Tribolium castaneum: one gene and its partners. The main gene of each other region encodes a partner of the protein of the gene in region 2 in a complex. Links are inferred from orthologs where the notes say so. Each region holds a gene or a part of one and is shown on either strand. Other genes may lie near its edges. The genes, in order: splicing factor 3B subunit 4, Prp5 and Sf3b1.

The links.
Region 1: Prp5 (region 2) and splicing factor 3B subunit 4 share a complex: the UniProt entries of both Homo sapiens proteins name them as parts of the 17S U2 SnRNP complex. The link is inferred for Tribolium castaneum from reciprocal best matches to the Homo sapiens genes DDX46 and SF3B4.
Region 3: Prp5 (region 2) and Sf3b1 share a complex: the UniProt entries of both Homo sapiens proteins name them as parts of the 17S U2 SnRNP complex. The link is inferred for Tribolium castaneum from reciprocal best matches to the Homo sapiens genes DDX46 and SF3B1.

What each region holds. Positions count from the first base shown.
Region 1 is NC_087395.1:2,320,455-2,322,972, reverse strand, and holds the end of splicing factor 3B subunit 4, read right to left. Parts: intron 1,334-2,518; coding exon 545-1,333; 3' UTR 504-544; downstream 1-503. UniProt on the Homo sapiens protein: Component of the 17S U2 SnRNP complex of the spliceosome, a large ribonucleoprotein complex that removes introns from transcribed pre-mRNAs.
Region 2 is NC_087399.1:726,809-730,473, reverse strand, and holds part of Prp5 (probable ATP-dependent RNA helicase DDX46), read right to left. Parts: coding exon 3,356-3,665; intron 1,520-3,355; coding exon 807-1,519; intron 1-806. UniProt on the Homo sapiens protein: Component of the 17S U2 SnRNP complex of the spliceosome, a large ribonucleoprotein complex that removes introns from transcribed pre-mRNAs.
Region 3 is NC_087395.1:16,044,017-16,047,016, forward strand, and holds the end of Sf3b1 (splicing factor 3B subunit 1), read left to right. Parts: coding exon 1-2,196; intron 2,197-2,248; coding exon 2,249-2,407; 3' UTR 2,408-2,498; downstream 2,499-3,000. UniProt on the Homo sapiens protein: Component of the 17S U2 SnRNP complex of the spliceosome, a large ribonucleoprotein complex that removes introns from transcribed pre-mRNAs.

The DNA of each region.
Region 1 (2,518 bases), on a different chromosome or scaffold from region 2:
TAAATGAATTTCCAAGTGCTAAAGCCGTTGTGTGGACAGGATTTGGACAATCTGTTGGTAAAACTGTAACATGTGCTGAAATTATGAAACGGGAACACAATAATCAGTTACACCAAATAACGAAACTGTGTTATAGGGTGTAAGTTTGTTTTCAATTAAAAATTTCCGCTGACATGACTTAAAATAAGTTGGTGACATTGCATGGCAAACGCCACTAAGAGTGTCACCAACTTAATTTCAGCCTAAGACGACTTGGATCAGAAATTGCATCATATTTTACAATTTTGCAGAGTAGAAGAATTTTGGGATCCAGTTATTCCTGATTTAGACCAAATAGTTGTTAAACGAAAATTGCCAATGATACATATTCTACTTTCACTAGAAACATTAAGTTTTGAGGAATTAGGATATCAAGCCCCTGGTACCACAATACCATTTACTGGAAATAGTGACAATAATAAAAAGGATAATAATAGGAAAATCCAAAAAACAAGACACAAAACGAAATAAAAAAATTCACCTTGACTTTATTGTATTATTGTTTTTACCAATTATTTTCGCTAAAATTATTCGGAGGTGGTGGTGGAGGTCCCCTTGGTGGGAACGGTGGTCTCCCTCCACCAAAATTAACCGGCGGCCTCCAATTCGGGGGCCGCCCCCCTGGAGGCGGTGGCGGCGGGAAACATCCCGGGAACGGCGGTGCACCTGACGTTGGGGGCGCTGCCGAGTTTGGCGGTCCAGGTGGTGGTGGCGGTAACCCACCTCCACCTTGCCACGGAGGTGGTATCATCCTGGGGGCGCCTGAAGCTTGCGTTGAGGCAGGCATTGGTGGCAGAGGGGGCCGTGCTCCAGCGGCGGAGGTTGGAGGCGGTGGAGGTGCACCTGGTGGCAAGGGCGGTTGGGAGGGAGGTAATGGCGGAGGGGGGATCCCCGAGGGGAAAGAACTGGGTGGAGGAACTGGTGGGGGTGGAGGAGGTTGCATACTTGCCGGAGTGGGGGGTGGTGGAGGCATCATTCCAGCGAGGATTACGGGAGGTGGGGGCGGAGCGAGAGTCATTCCTGGGGGCATCATGCCCATGGGAGGGGCGTCGGCGAATAGTTGATGGGGGCGGTCGGCTTGGGAGAGGGGGTTTTGGGCTGCGAGGAGACGCTCGGCTGCGGAGCCGTGACGTTCGCCTTTGGAGTCTTTCTTGAAGGCGTAGGAGACGGAAATGGGGCGGTTGCAGAGGTATTGGCCGTTCATTGCTTCGATTGAGGCGTCAGATGCTTCGAAACTTGCAAAGTTGATGAAAGCGAAGCCTTTGGAATTGCCAGTGTCGGGGTCTCTCATTATCTACAATATTAAAAAATATAAAAAAAACGTTTGAAAAAAAAAATAGATTGGTATGTGGAGAAGCTGAACGTTTAATTTTACCAAATGGAGTGAGACAAATAACTCAACTGATAAATAACATACAGAGATTAGCAAAATTATAAATAAAAATAAATAAATAAATTTTGAAGGAAGAATGCTCGTATAGGTAATTTTTTTCAATACATGAGAATCCCTAAATCTGTCGCATAAAGCAATACAAGGCACTTACACCTGATTTAACAATTGGGGCTTTTCATGCGAAGCGGACAACGAAAAAATTTGAGATCTTGAAATTCGGTTATACAGGGTCCTCAAAAACTGGCGCACCAACTCAGTGGTACGTTATTGAGAAGCAAGTGTAGATTACGGGAAAAATGTTGAAAAAATTCCTAAAGTCATATTTTAAAAAATCTAGAGCTACAAACTTATTGTATTTAACTTCTTTACTTTTCATTATTTTTTAATGTTTTTATGTTTCACAGTAAGTAATCGTTTCCTAACAAAACGATTAATAATTATTTTTAAATTTTTAAATTTTTTAAAAATGTAAATTTACAAGAAAATAATACATTTCACACTTAACTTAGTTATTTTGTTTTGTTCCTATCGTTTCCAAATACTTTTACAAAATATAGTAGACAAAAACTTTTGTTTTCAATATTTAAATAACAATAATAACATTAATAATTCAGAGTGGCCCATTGCTTGGTGCAAAAGTGAAAGCGCACTACAAAAATTAACGAGAAAAAAGAAAAGAAAGAAAAAGAAATAAGAAATTATCGATATTTTTCTGCCTAGTTAGGTATAGTGGCGGTCAGCTCGATTTGCGTGTGCGTCATCAATTTCATTTTTTCATTACCAACACAAAGCTATAAAAAAATTATCAAAAACAATGCAAATTTAAACAGTTAAGGGCTATCTAAGGGTGGTATCCTTGAACATTGATTTACATGTGCACTTCGACAACACCGTCAAGTGTCACGAATTTGTCAAACTGACATTGACAGTAAATTACAGACGTCGTCGCTTGGTTGTCGAAAATGTTATCGGTGTTAATCACAAGTATTTTCTGTTCGTTTATTGTGTTTTGTGATTTGCGTTTCGTTAGGTTTTTGATTCTGCGTTTATTAGTTCTTGTTTTGTGAATCTGTATTTTTTGTAACA
Region 2 (3,665 bases):
GACATTCATGCACATTAATAATTTGAAATCGGAGCCGAGTTAAAAGTTTCCATTCTGAATAATTCCGAACACGATCGGTGAATTTTTTTTTCTGTACGTTATGAAATTAATTTAGTAATCAGGCCGCCAGAGGCTAGGACTAATCAAATTAGAAATAGAAAAAATTCTTCCAACAAGAATTTACTACACGGAGGAAAAAAGTTTAATTGGTTTATTCTACAGACGAGAAGTAAATCCAATAATGGTCACTTCACACAATTATTTTTTGAGGAACTTCACACCCCGATTTTACAAGAAATACTGCGTGGAAAACATGCAAACAGATGAAACTTTAAACCAGCTGATGCAACTTTTCAATCTCTTGCCGGAGGCTTGATGATACAATTTTCCGATCAAGTTGCATCATGCTTCAGATTTTTTTTACATTACACATTTTATTATTTATTATTTATATTATATATTATATATTATATATTATATATTATATATTATATATTATATATTATATATTATATATTATATATTATATATTATATAAATATTATTATGTTGTGAAAACCTCTTCCAAAAACAATAATTCGATTTTTCACATAATTATACAAGGTGTGTTAAAATGATTGTCACTAGTTAACCTTGAAATTGGTTTATTTCGGTTCATATGTAAAAAAATTGTGTTGCGGCACAGACGACTAGATGAAAATCATTTTAACACACTTTGTATATTTTTCCGAATGTTTACTTACCTGAAGTGGGAAAAATCGTAAAATCGGCAAACAATAAAAACGTGTTCCAATGACAATACTAACCTTTGACGTCACCCTCCACCTCGCCTGCTGCGGAAAATCATTAATCTCCAACTCCTCCTCATACTTCCTAAACGTCTGTTCATTATCAATATCATCCCTCTCATCATCGTCCTTCGGCTGATAATTCAGCTTGGTATTCAATTTGGCGGCCAACTGTTCCGCCACCGTCTTCGCCGTAATCGGCAACGAGCTGCTGCTCCCCTTCAGTATACTTTCAGCAGCTTGCTGCGTGGCAAACTTCGTATCCAGACTAATATTCTTCGAAAAATTAATCCTTGAAGCTAATCTTTTCGCCAACTCTAGCTTATCCATTGCCGTTTGCGTATTCATGGCAGCTGGATTAATCAATCCTAACGGTGCTTTAATCTCTTTAACCGTCCGTTTTGTGGCAAACATACTCTCGATATGTTGGTCTATGTCATGCTCCAAATCCTCATCGTCGGAATCGGCAAGACCTAAGGCCGCTTTTTGGAATTTCTTTCGTTCGGTGACTGCGGCAGCTTCATTCTCGTCGAATTTGAAGCCTTTGCCACTGAAACCACCCCCGGAGTGCACTTTTTTGCCCTCGGCTTCTTGCTTGGACTTGTAGGAGTCCCAAAGTGCACGCAGGGGGTCAGGGATGGGGACTGAAGCTAGTTCAAACGCTCGGATTATATCTCCAGCATATCGCGACTGTTCGGGGGTGATGAAGGTGTAGGCGAAGCCCTTGTTACCTGCACGAATCATTGAAATAAGCCCACCGAAAAAAAATGCGCACAGAAAAAAGCCCAGAAGAAAAAAACTCACAAAAATTTACAAAATCTAAAAAATTTAAAATCAATTTTTTGGCAAAAACAACTCAATTTTATATACGGCTTTTCTACGTACAGTCGAACAAAATGAAAATGACGCCTCAAGCTGTGGAAGCAAACTTGACGTAGTTTCAAGATAGTTTTTTTTAGTTGAGCTGGTTTACAGATAGCAAAATTAAATTTAATTCAGAATTAATTAATTAATTAAACTAATTCGGATTAAAATGCCACTTATTTTCCATTGACAAACGTCGAGTTAATTAAATCCAAACGTTGAGTTTTTTTCATAAAACTATTTCTTTAAGAAAATTATGCGTTAAAAAAACAAATCATTATTAACTTAAATAGTTCCGACTTATCCGACTTATTTAGTAAAAATGGTAAAAATTTTGGTAAAAATTCGAACGTTTTTTTAGGTTTAACATCGAAACATTTGAATTCAGTCTGTGTTAGATTTGTCAAACTTTTATGTAAAAATTATAATTTTCAAACATTGATGAATAAATTACATCGTAAAAAAATTGCTCACTTTCGATGGCTGTTAAAATTTTCCAATGAAAAAATTTACATTTTTATTTAACTTGACGTTTGTCATTGAGACATCATTTTCATTTTGTTCGACTGTACAGATGAATTAAAAGTAACGCACTATGTTATAAATTATTTTTCGAAAAAATCCTCGAACAAGTCGATTTAATTTTTTGAAATAGTACATTTTGACATCATAAAGGCATTTCTGGCGTCATTCATTTTAGAGTAATGACGTCATTTTTATTTTTTTTAATAATAGCTAACAAATTAATGTTTTAGTAAATACACATTTTTATAATAAATAAGTATAAAAAAATAAAAAAGCATAAAAGTATATAAGTATAAAGTATAAAGTAAGAATAAAAAAATCAAAAAATTAATTCAAAAAAAATCAAAAATAAAATAAAAAAGTTAGTAAAAGTATTATACAAATACTATTTTAAATTATTATTTAATTAATTTTTATTAATTGTTATTTAGAAAAAAGTAATTGTTTTTTGCTTATTTTTTGTGTTTACATATCATATTAGTTAAACAAAAAATTTATAAAAAACAATTGCCGCTTCTAAAATAAGTCAAGAACAAAAAAAATCAATCCCATTATGTTTGATTGTATTTTTTTATTAATATTATTTTTTTCTTCATTGTTTTATTTCTTCTTCTTATACCAGAAAAATAAAGAAGTGTAATATCTAAAACAGTAAACAACGTTTAAAACAACGTAACGTTTAAAACAAAAGTAAGATTTCCTTCATTGTATTAGTGCAGAATATTCGTAGTTTACGTTTTGAGTAATTCTTAAAAAAAGTATCAAAATATTAAGTAAAATTCCTCCCAATTTTAAATTGTTATTTAGATCAGAAAATAAAGTTACTCTTTTGAATTGACAGAAAATGCTTTATTCATGAGTAGAAACCAGGGAGGAAAGGTAATATCCATTTACAATAAATACAGCTTATTATAATGAGCGTATTTCTCTGTGAGTTCTTTTGTGAAGATAAAACATTGTTCAATTGCTCAAAAACGTCTTGAGTTTTTTACTATTTCAGTTTCTAAGTTTTCACTTAAACAGTAGGTTGCAAAACTTAAAAAAAAAAAATTATAACAATAAAATTTTAAATCTATTTTTTTTTCTTTGGACAACTGGAAGTGTTTTTTTTTTAACTTGAAACATTGGTAAGTGGTATTTTTGTGAGCTTTTTTCTTGTAGGTTTTTTAATCACTTACCTGCACGTCCTGTCCGACCACACCTGTGGACGTAATCTTCATAGTGATTAGGACAGTCGTAATTAACCACCAGGATCAAATGCTTGACATCTAGCCCTCGAGCCGCCACCGAAGTAGCAATCAAAAGTTTGACTTTCCCCGACTTAAAATCAATAATCGTCGAATCGCGATCGAATTGGTCGATACCACCGTGAAGACTCAAGCAATTGTACGCCGCTTTCATCAATTCTTTTAACAAAATATCGGCGTTTTCCTGCTTATCGACAAAGACAATGATACTCCCGTGCTCATGGTAGAGACCCAACAGCTC
Region 3 (3,000 bases), on a different chromosome or scaffold from region 2:
GACAAGGCTCGAGAATTCGGTGCAGGGCCCCTTTTTAACCAAATTTTGCCCCTTTTAATGAGTCCAACTCTGGAGGACCAAGAACGTCACTTGTTAGTCAAAGTCATAGACCGAATTTTGTACAAATTGGACGATTTAGTCCGTCCCTACGTCCACAAAATATTGGTGGTGATCGAACCGTTGCTCATCGACGAAGATTACTACGCGCGTGTGGAAGGCCGTGAGATTATCTCAAATTTGGCCAAAGCCGCCGGATTGGCAACCATGATTTCGACCATGCGGCCCGATATTGACAATATAGACGAATACGTCCGAAATACAACCGCTCGTGCGTTTGCCGTCGTCGCTTCAGCTCTGGGAATCCCCTCGTTGTTGCCGTTTTTGAAAGCCGTCTGTCGGTCGAAAAAATCGTGGCAGGCCCGGCATACTGGTATTAAAATCGTCCAACAAATCGCAATATTGATGGGGTGCGCTATTTTACCGCATTTGAAATCATTGGTTGAGATTATCGAGCACGGTTTGGTCGACGAACAGCAAAAAGTTCGAACGATTACGGCGTTAGGTATCGCGGCGTTAGCCGAGGCTGCGACACCGTACGGTATTGAGAGTTTCGATTCGGTGCTTAAACCACTGTGGAAGGGCATTAGGACCCATCGCGGGAAGGGTTTAGCTGCGTTTTTGAAAGCTATTGGTTATTTGATTCCGCTGATGGACGCCGAGTATGCCAATTATTACACAAGAGAAGTAATGTTGATTTTGATTCGGGAGTTTCAATCGCCTGACGAAGAAATGAAGAAGATTGTGCTCAAAGTGGTCAAGCAGTGTTGTTCGACTGACGGTGTCGAGCCTCAGTACATCAAAGAGGAGATTCTCCCACAGTTCTTTAAACATTTCTGGAATCACAGGATGGCGCTGGACCGGCGAAATTACCGCCAGTTGGTCGACACGACTGTCGAAATCGCAAATAAAGTCGGAGCTTCTGAAATTATCAACCGGATTGTGGACGATTTGAAAGACGAAAACGAACAGTACCGGAAAATGGTCATGGAAAGTATCGAGAAGATCATGGGCAATTTAGGAGCGGCCGACGTTGACTCGCGATTGGAGGAGCAATTGATTGATGGCATTTTGTACGCGTTCCAGGAGCAAACCACCGAGGATGTGGTCATGTTGAACGGTTTCGGCACCATCGTCAACCAGCTGGGCAAAAGAGTCAAGGCTTACTTGCCCCAAATTTGCGGTACCATTCTTTGGAGACTGAACAACAAGTCGGCCAAGGTCCGCCAACAGGCCGCCGATTTGATCTCGCGGATCGCAGTCGTGATGAAGACGTGTCAGGAGGAGAAACTCATGGGGCACTTGGGCGTCGTATTGTATGAATATTTGGGCGAGGAGTACCCGGAGGTTCTGGGCTCGATTTTGGGCGCCTTGAAGGCCATAGTCAACGTGATCGGGATGACGAAAATGACGCCACCGATTAAAGACTTGCTGCCACGTCTGACCCCGATTTTGAAGAATCGGCACGAGAAAGTACAAGAGAACTGCATCGATTTAGTCGGCCGGATTGCCGATAGGGGGCCGGAGTATGTCTCCGCGCGCGAATGGATGCGTATTTGTTTCGAGTTGCTCGAGTTGTTGAAGGCGCACAAGAAGGCGATTCGGCGCGCGACGGTCAACACTTTTGGTTACATTGCTAAGGCTATAGGCCCACATGACGTACTCGCCACGCTTTTGAATAATTTGAAAGTGCAAGAGCGTCAAAATCGCGTTTGCACGACTGTGGCTATAGCTATAGTTGCCGAGACCTGTTCGCCGTTTACTGTTTTACCGGCTTTGATGAATGAGTATAGAGTGCCGGAACTTAACGTCCAGAATGGTGTCTTGAAGTCGCTTTCGTTCCTGTTTGAGTACATTGGTGAGATGGGGAAGGATTATATTTACGCTGTGGCCCCCCTGCTTGAGGATGCGTTGATGGACAGGGATTTGGTGCACAGACAGACGGCGTGTGCGGCTATTAAACACATGGCCTTGGGTGTGTACGGGTTTGGGTGCGAAGACGCCTTGATTCATCTTTTGAATTACGTGTGGCCGAATATTTTCGAGACGTCGCCGCATTTAGTGCAGGCATTTATGGACGCGATTGAAGGCATGAGGGTGGCTTTGGGGCCGATTAAGATTTTGCAGTATACGTTACAGGTGGGTTGGATAAAAGGTGGTATAGAACTGTTATTAATTGAGTGTGTTTTAGGGGTTGTTCCACCCTGCTAGAAAAGTGAGGGATGTTTATTGGAAGATTTACAATTCTTTGTATATTGGAGGACAAGATGCGCTGGTTGCGGGGTATCCCCGCATTGCGAATGACCCCAAAAATCAGTACATTAGATACGATATGGATTATGTTTTGTAACTTAATGTAGTAGTGGCTTGTAAGGATATTGCACTTTTTTTAATTAATTAATGTTATTCCAATGAAGAAATAAATATGTTTGAGTCCCAAATATATTTTATATAGCTTTGTTCATTACTTAGCTGAAAATAATATATTGGCAACACCGAGTTGTTGGCATTCTTGTTTAAAGTTGATAATCGGAAGTAAAATTACCGTTGGGGGCGCCACTGAGCTAGGTCGAAAACAGTAACCATAAATGGCGGGAAAATGTTTATTCGGATATTTTGAGCGTTGTACGAATTTTGGGGCTTCACAATTATTACATTGCCTATGCGGAATGATTATTGCATCTTTGATGCAAGAAACTTATGTTGACAAATGAGAGATGACGAGGAAAACACGAATAACGAATGACTGTTTGGTTCACTTTCTTTATTGGAAAATTATTACAAAGACATTGAAAAACCTACCTTTTGGCATAATTTACGTTTAAATGTATCAGCAGTTGTTAATCTTTATTGTAGTTTTACCGCAGCATTTCATGATTTTTTCAGTGGAAAATTCTAACCTAAAATTTAAAACACTTCACTAATATATTGGTTTCTTGAGCC